6 linked regions of the Nothobranchius furzeri genome follow. The protein of the gene in region 1 interacts with the protein of each later gene in a biochemical or structural test. Links are inferred from orthologs where the notes say so. Each region holds a gene or a part of one and is shown on either strand. Other genes may lie near its edges.

Evidence for each region.
Region 2: the proteins of peripheral plasma membrane protein CASK (region 1) and f11r.1 form a complex in vitro, tested with the Homo sapiens proteins (2 studies listed by BioGRID and IntAct, with this or other methods). The link is inferred for Nothobranchius furzeri from reciprocal best matches to the Homo sapiens genes CASK and F11R.
Region 3: the proteins of peripheral plasma membrane protein CASK (region 1) and sdc2 form a complex in vitro, tested with the Homo sapiens proteins (2 studies listed by BioGRID and IntAct, with this or other methods). The link is inferred for Nothobranchius furzeri from reciprocal best matches to the Homo sapiens genes CASK and SDC2.
Region 4: the proteins of peripheral plasma membrane protein CASK (region 1) and caskin-1 interact in a biophysical measurement, tested with the Homo sapiens proteins (2 studies listed by IntAct, with this or other methods). The link is inferred for Nothobranchius furzeri from reciprocal best matches to the Homo sapiens genes CASK and CASKIN1.
Region 5: the proteins of peripheral plasma membrane protein CASK (region 1) and prkn form a complex in vitro, tested with the Homo sapiens proteins (2 studies listed by BioGRID and IntAct, with this or other methods). The link is inferred for Nothobranchius furzeri from reciprocal best matches to the Homo sapiens genes CASK and PRKN.
Region 6: the proteins of peripheral plasma membrane protein CASK (region 1) and cftr interact in a test that uses a peptide from one of them, tested with the Homo sapiens proteins (2 studies listed by IntAct, with this or other methods). The link is inferred for Nothobranchius furzeri from reciprocal best matches to the Homo sapiens genes CASK and CFTR.

The regions. Positions count from the first base shown.
Region 1 is NC_091754.1:50,601,538-50,605,184, reverse strand, and holds part of peripheral plasma membrane protein CASK, read right to left. Parts: intron 3,264-3,647; coding exon 3,075-3,263; intron 867-3,074; coding exon 788-866; intron 627-787; coding exon 541-626; intron 460-540; coding exon 391-459; intron 297-390; coding exon 228-296; intron 152-227; coding exon 116-151; intron 1-115. UniProt on the Homo sapiens protein: Multidomain scaffolding Mg(2+)-independent protein kinase that catalyzes the phosphotransfer from ATP to proteins such as NRXN1, and plays a role in synaptic transmembrane protein anchoring and ion channel trafficking.
Region 2 is NC_091750.1:47,706,750-47,709,675, forward strand, and holds the end of f11r.1 (F11 receptor, tandem duplicate 1), read right to left. Parts: coding exon 2,851-2,926; intron 2,762-2,850; coding exon 2,559-2,761; intron 2,454-2,558; coding exon 2,351-2,453; intron 2,195-2,350; coding exon 2,087-2,194; intron 1,962-2,086; coding exon 1,946-1,961; intron 1,676-1,945; coding exon 1,618-1,675; intron 1,531-1,617; coding exon 1,495-1,530; 3' UTR 648-1,494; downstream 1-647. UniProt on the Homo sapiens protein: Seems to play a role in epithelial tight junction formation. Appears early in primordial forms of cell junctions and recruits PARD3.
Region 3 is NC_091759.1:26,347,755-26,351,401, forward strand, and holds the end of sdc2 (syndecan-2), read right to left. Parts: intron 867-3,647; coding exon 703-866; 3' UTR 471-702; downstream 1-470. UniProt on the Homo sapiens protein: Cell surface proteoglycan which regulates dendritic arbor morphogenesis.
Region 4 is NC_091744.1:16,381,716-16,385,362, forward strand, and holds part of caskin-1, read right to left. Parts: intron 2,906-3,647; coding exon 2,760-2,905; intron 2,317-2,759; coding exon 2,221-2,316; intron 1,793-2,220; coding exon 1,671-1,792; intron 727-1,670; coding exon 618-726; intron 491-617; coding exon 382-490; intron 242-381; coding exon 147-241; intron 1-146.
Region 5 is NC_091752.1:62,532,905-62,536,551, reverse strand, and holds part of prkn (E3 ubiquitin-protein ligase parkin), read right to left. Parts: intron 2,565-3,647; coding exon 2,481-2,564; intron 2,407-2,480; coding exon 2,291-2,406; intron 372-2,290; coding exon 235-371; intron 158-234; coding exon 96-157; intron 1-95. UniProt on the Homo sapiens protein: Functions within a multiprotein E3 ubiquitin ligase complex, catalyzing the covalent attachment of ubiquitin moieties onto substrate proteins. Substrates include SYT11 and VDAC1.
Region 6 is NC_091744.1:52,968,771-52,972,951, reverse strand, and holds the start of cftr (cystic fibrosis transmembrane conductance regulator), read right to left. Parts: upstream 2,872-4,181; 5' UTR 2,737-2,871; coding exon 2,684-2,736; intron 1-2,683. Other genes in the region: asz1 (ankyrin repeat, SAM and basic leucine zipper domain-containing protein 1), read left to right, coding at 4,173-4,181. UniProt on the Homo sapiens protein: Epithelial ion channel that plays an important role in the regulation of epithelial ion and water transport and fluid homeostasis. Mediates the transport of chloride ions across the cell membrane.

The sequences.
Region 1 (3,647 bases):
GATTGTTTTGATCATTGGGAAGGAATCCATCAGTTTTTGGGAGGAGAAACGTGACGAATCAGAGGACGAAAGTGAAGGAACGGGAACGCGGACGTCACGAATGACTAGATCTCACCTGACGGCCCTTGGGTTGGATCGTCGCCGGCAGGTCCTGGTGGAGGACACGAGTTTATGGCAGCATGTAAAAACACCGTGTGTAAAAGGTGGATGTGAATACACGCACATACCAGGATGGAGCTGGTCACACTAGCGTGACCATTTGCAGGCGACTGGCGAGACAGATCCGGAGACTCTTTCTGCAGCAGGTTTTCAAAATAAAAGTATATTTCACTCTAAATGCAACAGGAACAAATGAGTATGTGTGTGAGTTCATGTGGAGGTTTTTTTTACCTCACAGGACATGGATTGGGACCGGTAACTGGGCACGATCTTAAAAGTGATGCTCCCCCTCATCTCCCTCTGTGGAGACAATGGTGGCAACACTTATTCCGTCTGTTTTCTATCAGACTGCGTAAAAAAAGTCAGACTAGTGTGACAAACCAGCATCCTCTGGAGCTGTTCTACCGTCTGATTCGCTACACTGATGCCGTTGATCTCTCGGATCTCATCTCCAACATGCAGAGTCCCTGAGGCGGGGAAACAGTGAAGTAATTAAAGTGCTAATGCATCAACGCTTCAGAGAGCAGGGGCCAAGAAAAATAATAGTTAAATGTAAGCTCTTTCAAAATAAAAGCACATTCAAAAAGAATTCTGCTGCTAGTGAGATTTGTACAGTTATACTTTATACCTTGTCGATGAATCATTCCACCATGCATGATGCGAGCCACAATACAGTGGTTGAGGTCATTCATTTTTAGAGTAATGCCCTAGAACAGAGAGTGGGACAGATGTAATCAATTACAAGGTATCATAATAAAACAGTCTTTAGATCAAAGCATCAGCTAACACTGCTGTAATGTTTACAAGAACTGCAGCCGTTTACAAGAAGGGACACAGCAGACTGCACTTCTTGAGGACGCTTAGGTCCTTCAATGTCTGTAGCAAGATGCTGCAGATCTTCTACAAGTCTGTTGTTGAGAGTGTAATCTCTCCAGCCATCGTCTGTTGGGGTAGCAGCATCAGAAGCAGGGACCTGAAAAGGCTCAACAGCCTGATAAAAAGGCTGGTTCTGTTCTGGGGACGACTGTGGAACCGCTGGAGGAGATCATGCAAAGAAGGATTCTCCAGAGAATCAAGAAAATGATGGACAACCCTGAGCATTCTCTTCACAAGACTGTCCGACAACGGAAGAGTGTCTTCAGTCAGAGGCTTCTTCAGTTTGGCTGCAACACTGACCGCTACTGGAGATCCTTCCTGCCAACAGCTATTGTAATATACAATAACTCTTTAATGACTTGATTATTATTATTATTCTGAGCTACTACAGCAATCAATTTCCCTCTGGGATTAACATATTATTTTTGAATTGAACTGAATGTAGCAACAGTTTACAGTATTCATCTGGTACTGCAAAGCTGGGCACAGCTCACTTTTGACCCTTTTCCACTAATAACAGGTACCAGGTCACCGTCTCTTTTTTAGTACCAGCTTTGATGAGGTTCCAAGCGCACAAAGCAAGGCCAAAAACGCAGCGTCAGACTGCTGGCCACTGATTGGCTAACGGGTGGAGTTGCCAGTTGCCCCAGAGTGTTTCGTCTTGCTTCCTGTAGTTTTTCGGGGGGGGGGGGGGGGGCTAACAAAAATCACCAACTAAACCAAATGTTCACCACCACAACATGTCTGCCACTGTTGTGTTTTTGTGTCATGTGATCGATGGCCTGCTATTACAAACCCAGCCATTTCTCATCCGTAATGGAAAACCACCCAAACCACGTAGTTGAGTCTAGCCGCGCTGAGTAGGCGCACGTGGAAAAGGGCCATTTCTACACGCAAACACTTCGGTTTATATTGTGTAAATATTTTGGACCAAGCTACACAAGCTTTAAAGCTTATAAGTGATACTACTCTAAAGTACTAAGTAGGTTTTTTTTTACTGTTTTATGTACTTTTATAAAATTGACATTCAAATGCATCACTGACCTTGCTTTAAAGAGCAAGTCACCCCCAAATAAACTTTTTTTGGCTGTTAAACTAAATAAACAAGTGACTAATCGTGCTGCAGACACGTGTCGTCAATAATTTGGCACTTCAGTGCATCTTAGTTAAAATTTAAATATTCTGCCTAAAACTGGCAGTGTTGTGCCATTGTCAGGTAAAAACTCTGCACTGTGTTTTAATTTAAATCTGCCACCGCTATTAGCTAAGAGGTATGCTATGACGTAAACTGGTACATTATGATGTCACAATGCTGTCATGAGCCTGTGTGTGTGTGTGTATTTGTTAAGCTTGGTTTATGCTTGACACATTTACTTTCCGCTTGGTGATGCGGCTCGCGGATGGAACGCGCTTCACAACTTGCAGCGTTTATGGTTCATGCGGCTCGTCTCTGCGGTGAGCCAATATTCTCCCAAACTGTAGGGGGCAGCATGGAGCTCTACGGCATGCATCCAACACTACACCATAGTAGAAGTAAAAATTACTGTTTACAACATGGCATTCCAGCATTTTTTAACAGCGTCCTCATCTTTTCCGACAGTGCGAGCTATTTCTCTCCAAGAATTATTAACAACATGTTGATCACGGTGATCTTTGAGAGCTGAATCATACAAATATCTGCCATACTAGTTCTTGCCGGTCCGCCATGTTTTTCCTCGTCCGACCGTCCGCGTGGTTAGAATATTTCCTAGGTGCGCGTTGCGGAAATTTTGGGCCGTGCGAAGGCGTGGTTGTTAAGATGACGCAACTTTTCCTCGCGGAGCCGTGCGGACCTCGCGGACGTGTCAAGCATAAACCAACCTTTAGCAGCTCCGCCTTCTCGGTCTGCCAGGTAACAGCATTTGTTGCTTTTTTTTTTACATGAAGTGAGAGTGGAGTCAGACTCTGGTAGGGGTTGACTTGCTCTTTAAAGACAGTTTGTGAAATCCTTTTTGACCAAAGTTTTAAAAAAAAACTGCCTAGCAACAATGCTCACACACCATTGGCTCGTCGGTGTTCTTCTGAAACTGGACCAGCCGAACCCTGGTCACGTTCTCCAGGTCCATGTCTCCGTTGGTGCTGTCTGGAGAGTCTCCGTTCAGGTACGGTGAAGTCGGTGGAGGGGTCACCCTCAGCGCCTCGTCGCTGTACACCTCGTGGGCCACAACATCGTGGGTCTGCAGTAGAGCCTGGATGTCCAAAGACAAACATATTTAAACATGCAAACATCTAACACTAAAGCAACGCTTTGTTTAAAGTCAGCTGAGTGAAATGTTTCATTGTTGGTCTGAAAAAATGAGAGCACGTATAATGAACAGATTTTAGAACATGGCCTGCAGGGCAGTATTCCTGGGAAAGTTACTGTCTCCTACAAAGGAAGCTAAACTAGAATTTGGCGTTTGTTTTGGGGCCTTTTTCTTGTACTAAACTATGGCCCTCATACAGAAGTTGCGGGAGATTAATTATGGTGTGCCACAAGGGTCGGTCCTTGGACCTAAACTGTTCATACTATTTATTAATGATCTTGTAAGTGTATCTAAGCTACTCGGTACTGTTTTATTTGCTGATGACGC
Region 2 (2,926 bases), on another chromosome or scaffold:
CGATAAAACACTTGTTATAGTAAGTGCGCGAACAAGTATTAGGATTAGTTTGGGCATTTTGAGGATAAATCCTGTGTAAGGGTTGAATGGTGGAAAATGTTGCTCACACTTCCTGTTTGCGTAATAGGATGTCGATCCTATACGCATGCGCACCTTTCAGGAGGGGAAGTTGCACGCCATCACGTTACCACAGCAACGCAACACTAGCCAATACAGAAAGCTTTTAGCATATTTATTTTCTCATAGCCTACAAAATACCATAAATCATTATTTTGAACTTCAATGTCTTTAAATTGGGTTGTATTTAAAATCAAGACTCAAACTGAAATATGTTTGTGTTAATTCATAATGGTGTTAGCCATGCTAATTTATTTTTCATTTTGTATTTCAATTATAAAAAATGTGTAAATATGTGTAAGACAAGCAGCACACAAACTACAGATTGAATTTTAATGGAGACACAACATGAACTTCTGTACATCAAAATCATGCAGATGATGAAATCAATTATGTGAATTTTGAGATTGACACAAAAGACCTATTTTTATTAATGGAGTATACCCTGTTTACAAAAGAAATGACAAAAGCAGTTTTCAAATATTGTTAGTGTATTTTCACATCAGTTGAAATCATTACAACCAAATTACTTTTAAAAAAATGTGTATAAAAACATTTCTGAGTTTGGAAACTACAACTACCGAGTTCATATAAATGTCTATTCTATCTGATCCCTAAAAAACACACAACCCACGTTTTTGCACAAATATTCATGCTTTTAAATTTGTGAATTTCATTGTCTATTTAAAAAGTAAAAGATTTCATATTGCATTCAACAAGATGTTACGCAAATCAAAAAAGTGACACAATTTGTATGCACAAAATGTAAAAAAATAAAAACATTACAATATCATATAATGTTTTATCAACATCAAAAGCGCTGAGACAACCAAGTCTAATAATTTTCTAAGTGAACGCAGCTTTATTTACAAAAATAACCCTTCAATAGAACTAATTTGTACAATGCATCAGAGAAAAACGAACACCCCAACAGAGCTGAGCCACATCAGTTTAACATTTAAGCTAAACTGCAGTTATAAATATTAAAGTAAGGTTATAACTGCAGATAATGTATTTCTTGGTTGGTGCACAACTACTCGAGAAGGTATTTTAATTAGCAGCATTTGTTATATAGTCCTAGGAGGTTTTGTTCTCTCTTCTTCATAGTAAACAATTACCTTGGATATACAGAATTTAGATTAAACAAAATAATAATAACTCCATAAGTAGAAACGCACTGGGCAGCTGCTTCAGCCCAACACGACAAATGTAAAAAAACAGACTCCCTTATTTCTTATTAAAAGTATTTAATCTGCAGATTATCTGAATCAATTGTCACTCTGAAAGCACATCACTCATATGTATAGAAACAGCACTCAAAAAAACTATAAAAATCACAATAAACAGGGAAGTTCAAGTCTGTAAGCGGACTGTTGATTACACCACAAATGACGACTTCTGTTTGAATTCCCCCTGTGAAACAAAACAAGTCTCAGACATCTTTGACCTTTTCAAACATACACTCCAATTAAAATATTAAAAATACATTAAAATACTCACGTTATCATCATCCCCACCATGTGATGTGGGCTGGTAGACTGCATCCATCCTGTGTTTACTGTGGGGACAAACAAATAAATAATAAGTGTGTGTGTGTGTGTGTGTGTGTGTGTGTGTGTGTGTGTGTGTGTGTGTGTGTGTGTGTGTGTGTGTGTGTGTGTGTGTGTGTGTGTGTGTGTGTGTATATATATAGATATATATACACATACCACTCCTAATGACCCAAGAATGTGTACAATCAAACATTGATATTATTAGTAAATAAATCTGTAAATCAGTATTTTAAAAAGTTTACATATCAAATATCCTCGATATAAAAACGTCTTACCCTTCAGTCTTTGCTGCTATGGAAAGAAAAGAAACAGGAGCACGTTAAAATTAATGGTGCCTAACATTAAACATACAACTTTCAGTCAAATTTCGACTATGTATACTCATGAATGTTTGTGATGCAATGCAGAAAACTTACTGGGCAGATAGCCTTTCTTCTTGGCATACCAAACACCAAATATCACGAGGCCCAGAAGCAGCAGAAAAATTATTACCCCTGCAACAATTCCTCCAGTGTTCAAGTCACCTTGAAGAAATCACAACGGGAGTCATTAGATTAATAAAATCTATTCTAAATCAATAAATTTAACATTACCACATTAATGTTTTACGTTTAAGTCATCTGAGTTAGAAACCATTTGTACCAACTCTGGTAAAAGAGAAAACAAATGATGCTACTTACGGACTTCCATTCTCCGTGCTTGACATTTCTGAGTTGGGCCAGCTTCGTTGGAGACCTCACAGTAGTACTGACCTGAATCCATCTTGGCAGCAGAAGGAAAATCCTGCAGCAACGTGACACAGTTTTGGTGTATTGATCAAGTTTCTTAAAAGTTTTTCTAAAACTTAAGCTGTAAAGGTTTTAGACAATATTACGATGCAAAGCTGACCAGTTTCCCAGTTGCTGGGTCCAGTTTGTAGGTGGCATTTTGGAAACCAGCAAACTTGCTGGGGTCACTGGGCAGGAGGGTCCCATCTTTGTACCACCTGTATGTGGGAGGGGGTGAAGCAGCGGGGTCAAAACAGGTCAGGGTGGCAGATTTACCCGTCGTCACCGAATCGGGGACTCCACATATGGGTACAGATGGTGGCACTGTGAAACACGATGGAGGGGTTATTATGTGGACCCATTATGTGTAAGATCAGTCTGAACATCAGTGCAAGTGGTGTCCACATACTCACCCAATACCGTCAGCTTTACAGTGGCTTTCTGTAATCCACTAGTGGAGCTGGACGCCTCACAGGTGTACACTCCAGT
Region 3 (3,647 bases), on another chromosome or scaffold:
AGGCACTTGGAAGGTTTCAGACGAGTGAGAATAAACTTTTATAGAACTTTACACACAAAATTTAAAAGACTCGAGGTGGAGGAACAACAGTGTGGCCACGGGGGGGGGGGGGGGGGGGGGGGTATCCTGGCAGGAATCTACTTCCTGTTAGTGAACAGCAGGGGAAGGCAGAACATGGGCCCAACTGGTTCTGGTTCTGGTCAAAGTGCTCTGTGTGTGTGTGCGTGTGCGTGTGCGTGTGTGTGTGTGTGTGTGTGTGTGTGTGTGTGTGTGGGTGTGTGGGTGTGGTTTTCCATCTCACACGGATGAAGCGGGAAAGACTCGCGTCTGATTTACAGTCCGAGGAAATGGAATAAGCCAAGTGAGAGCAGGAGGGTTTCCGTGAGACATTATCAGTGTTACCATGGAGACCGGCGCGTCCTCCCGCATCGTTGTGACACATTAACTTGTGCTAGGACCGGGAACTTTCAGTCTGAGGAATTCTAATCAAACGCTCCGGTTTAGTTGTCGGGAGAGCAGCTGCTAGACTCGAGGTTCGGTGTCGGACGGCAGCGACTCCATCAACACAACTCTGCTCACAAAGACAAAAGGTTGGAATTACAGCAATCTAGAACATTCCCTCTGAGCCGCGTCAGTCAAGTCAACACGTCATTCCGTGTGTCAGACCCAGAGTCCGACCGGCGCTCCATCCGGTTCCAGACGCTACGCATAAAACTCCTTGGTTGGAGCTTTCTGATAGGCTGCTCCGGAGGGTTTCCGCTCTCCCAGGTCGTAGCTGCCTTCGTCCTTCTTCCTCATTCGGTAGACCAGCAGGAGGATGAGGAAGATGGCGAACAGGAAGCCGATCACGCCGCCTGCAATAACAGCTGAGAGACAGAGACAGACAGTCACGGACGGTCCAACAAACACGTCACGTCCCCGTCCCACATCTCCACCCCCAGCTGGGACATGAGGAGGACTCTGTTGATCTGACAGGTGAAGGTGGCGACAGGTAAACTATGACATCAGACACGCCTACGCCCCACGTGGCCTCCATAAGCTTCTGTGCAGCTCCTTAATCTGTCCTCCGTACCGTAGTCTCCGACTGGCTACGGGCGGCCTCCCTTCCACAAGCCCCAGCTGTGCAGCTCCATCAGTAACGCAACGCTCCCAGAATGCGTGACAGCGATTCTCCTCATCCCTGTGAGTCGGACACGGATCAGGAGAACGAGCCTAATCCCAAACGTTCACCACACCAGAACCTCAAATGTCCCAGTCAGGGTTCTGGTCTACTCCAGCAGAAATACTTGTATAGCGCCACTCTACAACACTACAGCGTATCATTCATCCATTCACACACTGATGGTGATGAGCTACGATGTAGCCACAGCTGCCCTGGGGCGCACGGACAGAGAAAGAACCTCTGTCACGTTCCCATAGTAACGGTACACGTCAGGAATACCCTCAGCAACCCACAAAACCCAAAGTAGGATCCGGCTAACACCTGAACCCTCTGAGAGGAGAGAAGGATCCGGCTAACACCTGAACCCTCTGAGAGGAGAGGAGGGTCCGGCTAACACCTGAACCGTCAGAGAGGAGAGAAGGATCCGGCTAACACCTGAACCCTCTGAGAGGAGAGAAGGATCCGGCTAACACCTGAACCGTCAGAGAGGAGAGAAGGATATGGCTAACACCTGAACCCTCTGAGAGGAGAGAAGGATCCGGCTAACACCTGAACCCTCTGAGAGGAGAGAAGGATCCGGCTAACACCTGAACCGTCAGAGAGGAGAGAAGGATATGGCTAACACCTGAACCCTCTGAGAGGAGAGAAGGATCCGGCTAACACCTGAACCGTCAGAGAGGAGAGAAGGATACGGCTAACACCTGAACCCTCTGAGAGGAGAGGAGGGTCCGGCTAACACCTGAACCGTCAGAGAGGAGAGAAGGATCCGGCTAACACCTGAACCCTCTGAGAGGAGAGAAGGATCCGGCTAACACCTGAACCCTCTGAGAGGAGAGAAGGATCCGGCTAACACCTGAACCCTCTGAAAGGAGAGGAGGATCTGGCTAACACCTGAACCGTCAGAGAGGAGAGAAGGATACGGCTAACACCTGAACCCTCAGAGAGGAGAGGAGGATCTGGCTAACACCTGAACCCTCTGAAAGGAGAGAAGGATCCGGCTAACACCTGAACCGTCAGAGAGGAGAGGAGGATCCGGCTAACACCTGAACCCTCTGAGAGGAGAGGAGGATACGGCTAACACCTGAACCCTCTGAGAGGAGAGGAGGATACGGCTAACACCTGAACCGTCAGAGAGGAGAGAAGGATCCGGCTAACACCTGAACCCTCAGAGAGGAGAGGAGGATCTGGCTAACACCTGAACCCTCTGAGAGGAGAGGAGGATACGGCTAACACCTGAACCCTCAGAGAGGAGAGGAGGATCCGGCTAACACCTGAACCCTCTGAGAGGAGAGGAGGATCCGGCTAACACCTGAACCCTCAGAGAGGAGAGGAGGATCTGGCTAACACCTGAACCCTCAGAGAGGAGAGGAGGATCTGGCTAACACCTGAACCCTCTGAGAGGAGAGGAGGGTCCGGCTAACACCTGAACCCTCTGAGAGGAGAGAAGGATCCGGCTAACACCTGAACCGTCAGAGAGGAGAGAAGGATATGGCTAACACCTGAACCCTCTGAGAGGAGAGAAGGATCCGGCTAACACCTGAACCGTCAGAGAGGAGAGAAGGATACGGCTAACACCTGAACCCTCTGAGAGGAGAGGAGGGTCCGGCTAACACCTGAACCGTCAGAGAGGAGAGAAGGATCCGGCTAACACCTGAACCCTCTGAGAGGAGAGAAGGATCCGGCTAACACCTGAACCCTCTGAGAGGAGAGAAGGATCCGGCTAACACCTGAACCCTCTGAAAGGAGAGGAGGATCTGGCTAACACCTGAACCGTCAGAGAGGAGAGAAGGATCCGGCTAACACCTGAACCCTCAGAGAGGAGAGGAGGATCTGGCTAACACCTGAACCCTCTGAGAGGAGAGGAGGATCCGGCTAACACCTGAACCGTCAGAGAGGAGAGGAGGATCCGGCTAACACCTGAACCCTCTGAGAGGAGAGGAGGATCCGGCTAACACCTGAACCCTCTGAGAGGAGAGAAGGATCCGGCTAACACCTGAACCCTCTGAGAGGAGAGAAGGATCCGGCTAACACCTGAACCGTCAGAGAGGAGAGAAGGATCCGGCTAACACCTGAACCCTCTGAGAGGAGAGGAGGATCCGGCTAACACCTGAACCCTCTGAGAGGAGAGGAGGATCCGGCTAACACCTGAACCCTCTGAGAGGAGAGGAGGATCCGGCTAACACCTGAACCCTCTGAGAGGAGAGAAGGATCCGGCTAACACCTGAACCCTCTGAGAGGAGAGGAGGATCCGGCTAACACCTGAACCCTCTGAGAGGAGAGGAGGATCCGGCTAACACCTGAACCCTCTGAGAGGAGAGGAGGATCCGGCTAACACCTGAACCCTCTGAGAGGAGAGGAGGATCCGGCTAACACCTGAACCCTCTGAGAGGAGAGAAGGATCCGGCTAACACCTGAACCGTCAGAGAGGAGAGAAGGATCCGGCTAACACCTGAACCCTCTGAGAGGAGAGGAGGATCCGGCTAAC
Region 4 (3,647 bases), on another chromosome or scaffold:
CTCATCAGCAGGCTTTTTTGAAAGTGGGGGGGACACAGCTGCCAATCACAAATTTTGCCGGGGACATGTCCCTGGTTAAAATGACGCCTATGACACACACACACACACACACATCATTTTTTACTTCATTTTTTTAGGGGCAGTACCGTGATTATATCTCCAGCTTTGATGTTCAGACTGGTAAGGTCATAGTTGTTGCAGTAATCCTTCAGTGCTCGCACCTGCATTGCAGCCGAAGCATCTACAAAACAAGAATGCAGACACAAGATAAGACTTTCTAATATAAACTGATTCTCATTAAGAATTTTTTTGTTGCTGTTTGTTTTTATTCTGTTTCTACAAGAACTAGAAGAGTTGTGTGAGTGCATTGTTGTGCTTCACCTCTGAGCAGCTGTTTGATCTCTCTACTGGCCTGCGTGGTGGTGAACTGGTTAACGATATCCAGAGCGGTTTGACTCAGAGTGTTCCTCACTCCTGCACTGATGCCACTCTAGAATGAAGCAGAGCAGAAAACTGATCAACGCTGCCGCCTCTGTAAAAACATTTCATGTGAGGCAGGATAAAAATAAGCTTTGAGTTTTAGCTTCTTTAGACTTTAAGAGGTGGTCATCACTTACATCCAGCAGCAGGCGCACTACCTCTGTCTTCCCACAGAGGGCAGCCTGATGTAGAGCTGTGCCACACTCAGACTGTCTGTTGATATCTATACCAGCCTGAATCAACAACCTGCAACATATAAACCATATCTTTGATAGAACGTGTTCATGATTTAATTCTACCAATGTAAGACAAAAAAACAAACAAACTAAAAACAAATACGTGTTCCCTAAAGTGGGCAATCAAATCCAGCAAATATGGTTTTAATTTTCTATTTCTACCATTATTATTGTATTTTAAACATTTCGATATTAAATTTTCTTAATTAAGCAGGCTGCAGTTTGTGCTTTTGTGCCAGACATCCAGCGCAGCCGCCTGAGCAGAAAACAAAGTAAGCAAACTTGTGCTGCAGTTAAATGTGACACGAAGATGACATTTAACCCCATTTAAAGAACCCCCCTGGTGGAAAATCAAGTTTAGTCTACTTGATGGCCGTTTCTTTAGTGTTCGCTGTATATGTGAGAGGACGAGCATGACAGAACAAGCAGTCGTGGAGTCGAGGGAGTTTTTAAGGGTTTAATGAACCCCAGCAGAGGAAGTCTATGCCACCAACATTGTACAATGTTATAAAGGAGCAGCAGATTCAGCAGTAGTAGTTTGCTACAGGGCTGAAGCTAATGTGAACTGGTTTTATTAGTCGGTGTTGTGTAGCAAATGCTGGTCAACATAGTGTGTGTGGCTTTGATTCAGTGCTGTTTAGCTACCTTTACTAAAATTAAGTCTCCATCTATTTGAAAAGGATCCTGAAGAAGGACTGTTGAAAATAAGTAAACGTAGAAAAGTTATCTAAAAGAATAATGTTGCAGGAAAGCTTCATGGGAACTGCTCAGGTTTGTCTAAAGACACACACACACACACACACACACACACACACACACACACACACACACACACACACACACACACACACACACACACACACAAACACACACACACACACACACACACACACTGAATGAGGAGGTGTGAAAGCAGACTGAGGGAGGCAGAACAAGAGCAGAGCTGCTTCAGACCTTATGACTTCTATGTGTCCATTCTTAGCCGCAAGATGCAGAGGTGACACCCCGTTTGGGTCAGAAGGTCTTGGCTCCAGCATGGCTGCACACATGTTGCTGCTGAGCAGAAGCTGGACCACCTACACACACACACACACACACACACACACACACACACACACACACACACACACACACACACACACACACACACACACACACACACACACACACTAAAATCACTAATCGATCCGAACCAACACACACACAGGTAGAAACAGCCTTTACTGAAAGATTCCTCCCTCGCTTCTCACACTCCAGTCACACATCTGAAAGTTCTGGAAGTGCAATTTTTAAAAGGTTTTGTTTTTATGGGAAAAACATAATTTACATCTACTGGCCACTTTTTTAGTTACACCTAATAGCTCACCAGCCAATCAGATGGTAGCAACTCATCTGGTCCGGCACTTTGCTGAATATGTGAATATAATAAAGAATTAAGTTCTGAGGTGTACCTAATAAAGTGACCAGAGCATACATCAGTGTTCTGTTGTGCGTAGGTACTCACGCCAACACGTCCAAATTCACAAGCAAGGTCCAGCGGAGTCTTTCCAGCTGAATCTGAGATACACGGGTTGGACTGATGTTGTAGTAGCATCTCAGACTGTAGCATATTCACACACACACACACACGCACACACACACACACACACACGCACGCACACACACACAACTCACTGGTTACATCTGATTGTCTTAACAAGTGTTTCATGTTTGCATCATCAGGTCTGCATAGCAGACACACACACACACACACACACACACGCACGCGCACACGCACACACACACACACACATGCACGCACGCACACACACACACACACACACACACACACACACACACACACAACTCACTGGTTACATCTGATTGTCCTAACAAGTATTTCATGTTTGCATCATCAGGTCTGCATAGCAGACAGACACACACACACACACACACATGCGCACACACACGCACGCGCGCGCGCGCACACACACACACACGCACGCACGCACGCACACACACACACACACACACACACACACACACACACACACACACAGTTACCCCATCGTAGTGTCCATGCTGAGCCGACAGGTGCAGAGGAATCTGTCCTTCTTCTGACTGTCCGTTGACTGACGAGCCTGCTTTCAGCAGCATTTTCATTGGTTCAGTCTTCCCCTGCCATGCAGCATAATGCAGAGGGCGCATTCCTACACAAAACACACATACACACACCGACACACATGGACAAACACGTACACAGAGGCAGAGATGACAGCACAATATAACATGGACATACACGACCCAACAAGCACATGCAAACAGACACAAAAACAAACAAATGGAGATGCAATGCACTTTATTTTAAAAGTCAGTCACTTTTCAATAAGGCATTTTTTCCTTCATTGAATTACAAAACCTAAGTGCTGGGAATTGATCTCATTACTTATGTCAGCAAAAATTCCTTGTTGATGCCAGAGATCAGAGGAGAATGGCCTGACTGGTTTGAGTTGAAAGGCAACAGTAACTCAAATAACCACTCGGTAAAACCAAGGTATGCAGAAGAGCATCACTGAATGCACAACACGTCAAACCTTGAGGCAGATGGGCTACAGCTGCAGAAAACCACACCGAGTGCCACTCCTGTCAGCTAAGAACAGGAAACTGAGGCTACAATTCACAAAAATTGGACAACAGAAGATTGGAGAAATGTTGCCTGGTCTGATGAGTCTCGATTTCTGCTGCCACATTCGGATGGTAGGGTCAGAATTTGCTGTCAACAGAATTAAAGCATGGCTCCATCCTGCCTTGTCTCAACAGTTCAGGCTGCTGCTGGTGGTGTAATGGTGTGGGGGACATTTTCTTAGCACACTTAGCCTTTTAGTAATGACTGATCATCATTGCAACACCACAGCCTACCTTAGTGTTGTTGCTAACTCTGTCCATCCCCTT
Region 5 (3,647 bases), on another chromosome or scaffold:
AAAACCCATTCCTTCTAAGTGTGTAGTTTACATGGACACATCATGCTACACAGTGTCTGAACCAAGCACCCACATCCTGTGTGACGGTACGTCACCTGTTCATCTCCCAGAATCCTGAAATGATGCAACTCTTTTACCAGAGAGTCCTCACAGCCAGCTGGAAACACAAAGATCATACCGTTACGGTCCCATTCATACCTGTTCACATCGTCACCCGAGTCTCCATTCCCTCACCTGCACATGGAAGAGAATACCCAATCACAGAGTGATACACAAACTGTCGCTCATTCAGGCGAGTCTGACAGTAGCGGCAGAAACAGTCCAGACAGATCACATGGCGCGCTGCACACTGGAAGACCAGGACCACCTCCCTGAGACAACACCAGGGACATGGTGGTGGTTAGAGCCCCACATGCTTCAGACGCACCCTTTCTCAGGCGTTCTGCATTCATTTATAATGACAGGGTGTTTATTCCATGTTAATCCAAATAGGTTTACCATAATATTAAGAAAGGCAAGATCTGATGAAATATAAGTATGGGTTGAGTCTAATATGTGCTCTGTGTGGTGCTACGCTAACGCATTAATGTGTCATGGTCTGCATTCTGCGTCTCCCTCAAGTGTCTCCTTGCATTCTCCATCCCTCTCTAGGTTCCCCTTATGTGTCTCCTTGTGTTCCTCGTGTGTCTCCTTGTCTGCATCCCCCCTCAGGTGCCTCCCTGTGGTCCCCAGCCCCCTCCAGGTTCTCTCCAGGTTTCCCTCATGTTTCCCTTAGTCACTTTTCTTATCATTAGTTTTCTGTTATTGTAGATTGTCTAGTTCGTTTCTCCCTTTAGGCATCATCCTCCCCTGTCTTCCAGTGTTTTTGGTTCTATTACTCCTAGGTCATTAATTTTATTATCTTTAGTTCTCCAGTGTCTTATTTCTACAGTGTTAAGTTATTTAGTTCAGTAGCTTTGTTTAACAGGTTTAAGACCTAGTCCACACGTAGCCGGGGTTTTTTTGAAAACGAATATCCACCCCTCCAAAACGTGCATCCACACCACCTCGTTTAAAAAAACTGTCCACACGTACCCAGATAAATACGTTGTTAGGGACATGCCAGACCTGTAGGTGGCAGTACTTCCCCCGTTCTTAACCTCGTCCTTCGTCTGTGGTCTTCCGCAAGGAGCAGTAATTCCGCTTGCAAAAACAAACAAGCAGAAAGCGCTTGGACAATTGATAAAGCGAGCGCAGCTCTGAGGGCATCCATGCTGTCGGCTAGTGTAAACACAGGTCGCACACGTGATGTCAGCATTTTTTTGTTGCGGAAAGTGACGTTGCGGACCTTAAAACTCCGGTTTTGTCTGTTCACACGCCGACACCCAAAACGGAGAAAACGCAGATCTTCACTTTGGCCGGAGTTTTTAAAAAGATCCGTTTTCGTGTGGATGACAGGCCAAAACGTAGGAAAATATCTACATTTTGGCAGATCCCCGGCTACGTGTGGACAGGGCCTTAGTTGGGGCTTTCCTCACCTGCCCTATTCTGCTCCTCCTCTTGTTTATTAATATCACCTGTACCCAATCCTCCTAATCACCCAGCCCCTGAGTATAAAACCCTGTCCTGTCTTTCTGTGTTTGTCGGTCCATTGTTTGTGTCAGCGTCGTCTTGCCCCCCCCCCCCCCCCCCCCCCCCCGGTCTCTAGGATTTTTGGCAATCTCTTGGTTTTTGGATATCTCCAGGTCTGCTCTTTAAGGGGTCACTTTGTCTCTAGGTCTCTTGGCTTTCATACTAAGATTTTTGGATTTTTGGTTTCGGCTTCTTGCACTATTGGATTCACTTTGGGACAATCACTCCTAATAAAGGTTTTTTTTTTATGTTTATTCCACCTCCTGCCTCGTGTCTCCCTGGTTCTGCATCTTGGCTCCTAACCTCCCCCCTTCTCGCAGCGTGACGTAATGCTGCCAAACACTGGGCACTGGCATGTTGCCCCGATGATAGAAGGTCAAACACATTCATTGCTCCTCTACCTCTAGTTAATCTTCATTTCCATGTGCATTAACGTGAACTTTAACCATGCAGGGACGAGAATCATGCCTGCAGGGTGTGTGTGCCTGAATGTTTCAAACGTGTGTTGGGGTGGGGGGTGGGGGTTATTGTAGGGGAGTAGCAGAAGTAACTACAGTCCTGGTAGCAAAGTGCCAGGAATGGAAAGTTTGTTTGGTGTGTGTGTGTGTGTGTGTGTGTGTGTGTGTGTGTGTGTGTGTGTGTGTGTGTGTGTGTGTGTGTGTGTGTGTGTGTGTTTTACGTTATGTCGGTACAGGCGATGCATGGGACGTTTCTGATATTCATCATAATGAGGTCAAGGGTCACAGACGTGTCATCCTCTGATGTTGGGTGAGACGCACATTTCATGTAGAATTCCTGAACCCAATTTCCCAGTGAGAGTAAGGTTCAGTCAGTTCTCAATTAAACATTGATTAAGCTCCACCCCTTACCGCTGTGTTACCATGACAACCGTCGGCCTGACAGAGGCCATGGATTCTTCCTGGAAGAAGGACATCGTCCCAGCAGGATGGACCCTGAAAAAAAGAGGACAGGAGAGTAACACCACCACCACTGATAACACATCTCTGTACTACACATGTAGTGCTGGTAATACTCATCTGTACTACAAGTGCAGTACTGGTAATCCTCTGGTAAACTGCACATGTAGTATTGGTAATACTAACTATGCTACACATGTAGTACTGGTAATAATCCTCTGTAGAGTTGGAGAAAGTTGGAATACAAAGGTTAAGACAATGTCCACAGCCTGCTACATCAGTGTGCCACAGGTTAACTGTTTGGTCTCCAAACCAGAAAACATTGTTTGTGACCTTGCCACCAAGAGGTCGAAGCCATGACAACCTGTTTCAGTATCTGCAGGCACAAGACGAGACTCTTTTATAACTTTAATAAAGAATCTTACTCAGTCTCATAAAATTATTTACTTCACTTTACGGGTTGATTATATTATATATTATATTCCATTTCATCTACAATGAATGTTTTATCTAAAGTGATTTAATAATGTCTCGACTGCTTTACAGTAATGAATGAATCAGCATGAATGTTTATTCTTGAAATGCTTTATTTCAGATCTTAAATACACCAAATGAGTCTAATTACGAAATCATTATTAAATCATCAAGTAGACTCATTTGGTGTATTTAAGATCTGAAATAAGGCATTTCAAGATCAAACTGTTATTTTTGAATCATTCATTATTGTAAAGGCAAGACAAGGCAAAGCAAGGCAGCTGTATTTGTAGAGCACATTTCAAACACAGGGCAATTAAATGTGCTTTATAATTAGCATGAAATGGCACGACGACATAAACAGGAGAACACAAATTAAAATATACACAGATAAAATTATAATTTAGAGCTAAAAGGAAAAGGCAGAATAAAGGTTGAACAATTACATCCCAGATTACAGTGGAGACGATGCAGCATAAGAAACAATTCATTCAAAGGCTGATGAGTACATTAGGGTTTTAATGACAATAATAGTAATAATGATAATAATACATTTTATTTAAAGCGCCTTTCAGGGAACTCAAGGTCACTGTACGAGAATGATAAAAGTCAAGCTAAAAGTTAAAAGCAGCAACAAATCACTCA
Region 6 (4,181 bases), on another chromosome or scaffold:
AACGGTTAGGATCACCACACCAAATCTGCCTTAATATCACTTTATTTATACTTTTAGAATTTATTTTACACACCAAAGTAATTTGGGCCATTTTAATCATACTAATTTACAATTTTAACTAATAAAATAGTAATGGGGTAAAAGGGTTGATAGTTTCCAAAGCAAGCCGGGGCCTTCTGTAAATGATAGAACATTTTTTTAGGCTGCTTGTCTAGCATGTATACATCAGAGTACATTATTTGTCTACTTTATTAGAATTGTGTAAAACAGTCTAAACCTGAAAACTGCACCGGTGCAGGACTGACTCAGCTGTTGTTTTCATTCAGGAGTGTGCACGTACAGCATGCACGCCTCTTGCACTAGCTTATTATTGAAGCTGCAGTTACGCATTGGGCCTGAGGGGGCAATCGTGTGCATCAAAATTTCAAATTCCTTATAGTCCCTTTAAATAAAAAGGAAGCTGAGGAATGTCTCAGTGACAACAACTATATAACAACCCCACTTCATACTAGACACGGTTAAATCAGATTTAATGATGTGGTGAGAGAAAGTCTCTGGCAAACAAAAGTAAAAGCTTTAAGGTGAATGTGCTGTAACGAGCTATTTCTGAGGTGAATAATGACAGAAGCAGCTGTAATAAAGTGCTGTAGGAGGGATGGTTCTCAGTGAAAGGGAAGGAAGCTTTGATTCAATCTGTAGTCCCAAGAAGATGGAACACATCAGTCCTGTGTATGGAGCAAACATAAGGACCTGTGAGTGTGTTTGTGTGTGGTTTCTCATCATTGACCCACAGCTGAGAATTACAGGCAAAGCTTTCATGTGTTCATGTCTCCCCAAGCTCTCTAACTGACCACATGTCCGCGCACTAAGACAAGTAAACAGGCAATTACCGTAACTGATTCAAACACAAAATGAATTCAAGCAAAATGTCAGAAAAACTTTGTTTTTTGTGCAACATTGTGGTGATGAGGGTCTCAGAATGTAAGAAGAGAAGTCACATTCATGTGGAACAGGACACATACCTTCCAATAAGTTCTACTTTTGTCTCTTCAGTCCCCAGAACACTTTTCTAGAAGAATTTGATCCCAAAATGTTTTTTGGAGATGGCTGTGTTGTTTCTGGGTGAACAGAGGTTTTGGACTTGGAAGTGGGCCAGTTCTCATTAGCTGAGTTAGGTCCTTTAGTTCTTGAGTGTGTTGATGTGTTGCTTTTTGAGATCTTTTTGCCTATTTCATGCTGTCAGGAAGGTTCTGTTAGAGTGATTGTTAGTTCTACTGGTCTGATATTAGTCAAGTGGAGGGACTGACCTCAGCTGAACTAATATTATAGTAAATCAGTAGCCTGGGCTGTCATCCTATAGTCTGGCCACGACCCATAGACAGAGCTCAGTCATGGGGCAGGATCTACGGTTGTCTTTCAAACGTTGTCTGCACCCAATTGGACAGCATAAGGACCAATCAGACCAACGGACATCATGATGCGTCCAAGACAACATAAATTTGTCAAAGGGCAGTCCATCACACAGAGTCGTTGAAGAAGAAATAGATACATCCATTTTCTAAATAAAAGACTTAACTACCTCTATCTGCTCACGTCTCAAAGAAAGGCCCAAGTCTAAATCGTTTAAAAATGATGCCAAAGCCGTTTCAAACAGGCATCTTTGTAGTTTTATCCATCGCAGCTCTGGTGCCCAACATCGATCTACAACCAGAGCGCTGACTGACCAGATCTAAAATTGTTCAGGCCAATGGTAGACCTGCAGACCCATACGGAGCGTGGCCAACAATCAAGTGTAACTATTGCTTTTATACGAAACTACTATTTAGTTGTTGATTAAATACTTCAGGATTGGAATGCGTGCTGATTGGAGCAGACGTTTACAACCCTGAAAATCTTTTTACTAACACTGTGTAAGAAAAGAACAAGAAATGGTTAACAACTCTGACAAGTTTGTTTCAAAAGGTGAATTTTTTTTTACTTTTTCTTTTTTTTTGTCAAAATATGAATAAAACTATAAAATAAGAATGGTGTCATGGTTCGTGCCTGGAAATCACAAAAGGACATTTTAGTGCGTTTTCTGAAACTGTCATTAACCAGTAATATCTTACCAGAAGTTGATGATGTAATAAAAACACCCAGTTTGGAGAAGCAGAGATGAGTTCTGACCAGAGATGCTCCTGCCACCTTCAGATCTCAAGCAAGTGTTGCTTAAGAATACATCAGCACAAACGCAGCTTCACGTGCTTTTTTTGCTTTCTGTAATTTGCAGCAGGAATTGGTTAAGACAACTTCAGTTTTATTCTGGCTGAAATCTCATCACATTTCTACTGGAATCACCATGAAACGTGACAATTTTGCACATGGGAAGGTATAATTGCATTTGTAACTGCTGTGGAAGTCTTGAGGTAGCTATTAGCTGTTGCAGTTTGGGTCAAAACTGATCTCTTTCTCTCCAAACAAGAACAAAGATGTTAATTGTTTCTTATCGGAGGCTTTCTGTTTGAACAATCCAGATTAATCACCACAAATCAAATCCCTGTTTTATGATGACCATAAGACCCTAAAACAACCTGCGCACTGGAGCGCGCCAGTCCAACCGCATTTACGCACCGGCAGCAGAACTTGTTTTGGAAAGCTTCAGCACGTGTCCAGGTGTTAGTCAGAAACGGTCTAACAGCCTTACCAAAAGACAAACTTGGAGAGGAAGTTTGCATCTTCCACCGGTGACTTTTGCATCCTAAAAGCGCCGCCAGTTTTGATCCGTGTGCAGCCGAGGGTCCCTGCGCCGCTCTCATCGGTGTGTCCTCCTGGCGCTCCGGGGAGGGTTCGGCCTTTATCCTCCTCTCCACCCCAGAGGATGGTGTTGGTGTGTGTGTGGGTGGGTGGGGGGTGGCGGCTCCAGGTCCGCTCCTGTTGCGCTGCCTCTTCACTCCGTGTGAGAGGGTTGTCCGCGCTTCTTTATTGGCCAAGTCGCCAAAGCTGCTCCTCTCCTGTGAGTCTAGCAGAAACGATTCTGGGACATCCAACCTGAAACTTTTTATCAGCTTCTCGTTACGCACAGTTTCAGGAGAGGGAAGATCAAAACACCTCTAGACATTCCTGCAGGGAACACTGATAAAATGCAGCAAATTGGCTTTTTTAGTGGACATCACACAGTCATTCATCAGGTGAACTCTACCGGAGTTCTGGGAGGACATAAACACATGGATACACACACTCAGTGCTATCACAAACACACAGAAAGCTGACGTGTGTAAGTCAGAAACAAGGACTTTTAACAAAAGCAACTAAAGCTGTGACTTTCAGAAAGGTGAAAACGTGTCTTAAGCAGCGTAATAAAAACCTGCATGTTAAAGTAAGTCATGAACTTAAGTTTGCTTTAAAGAAGGAGATCACACATAGCATCAGGTGTTTTAACATCCTCAAACACGAACGAGGCTGAGGAAAGAGAAAAGGGCGCCCTCTCCTGGACACAGACTGTACCAGCCACCTGCTCATCTTCTGATCCCTTTTGATTACTGAAATGAAGACCTCTGCAGGTGAACCCAAACTATTTAAATATTATGTACTTTACACGTAAATACATAGAAAATTACCAGAACATTCACTGGAAATAAGATTACAAAATCCATGGAGCGGTGACACCAGGATTCTCAAAAGCAGAACAAACACACCGGGTTTTCAATTTGAACTGGATGCACGTGTCAACATTAAATTTGGGCAATTCAAGAAAAGAAAGCAGATATTAGGAGTTTTTTTTATTGTTTCACTTGAAGCTAAATTAAATTTGGGCGTGGTCTCTCACTTTGCTCCCATGCGTTAAGCCCATAGGTTAAGCCCCGCTCTGTCCATCTTACTTCCGGGTGTTCTGAGAAAACGTCCGACTTTGGCAAAATGTCCTATCCGTAGGATAATTTTACGGTGTTTTACATGACACAAACCCTAACCATAACCCTAATTCTTACCCAAAAAAATCAAGTATCAACATCAATAAAAAGTACTAATACTTACTAATCTATTTTCTTGCAAATATGACAGCGGAGTAGCGTTCCCTTTTTGTGTTGTGCGCATGCGCGCACATGCTCATCAACTACAGTAGGATGGTTTACGGGGTAGGAGAAATTCCCAGAACATCTACCTAACACCTGTTCGGATACCACGGTGTCTGCAGCATGGCTAGC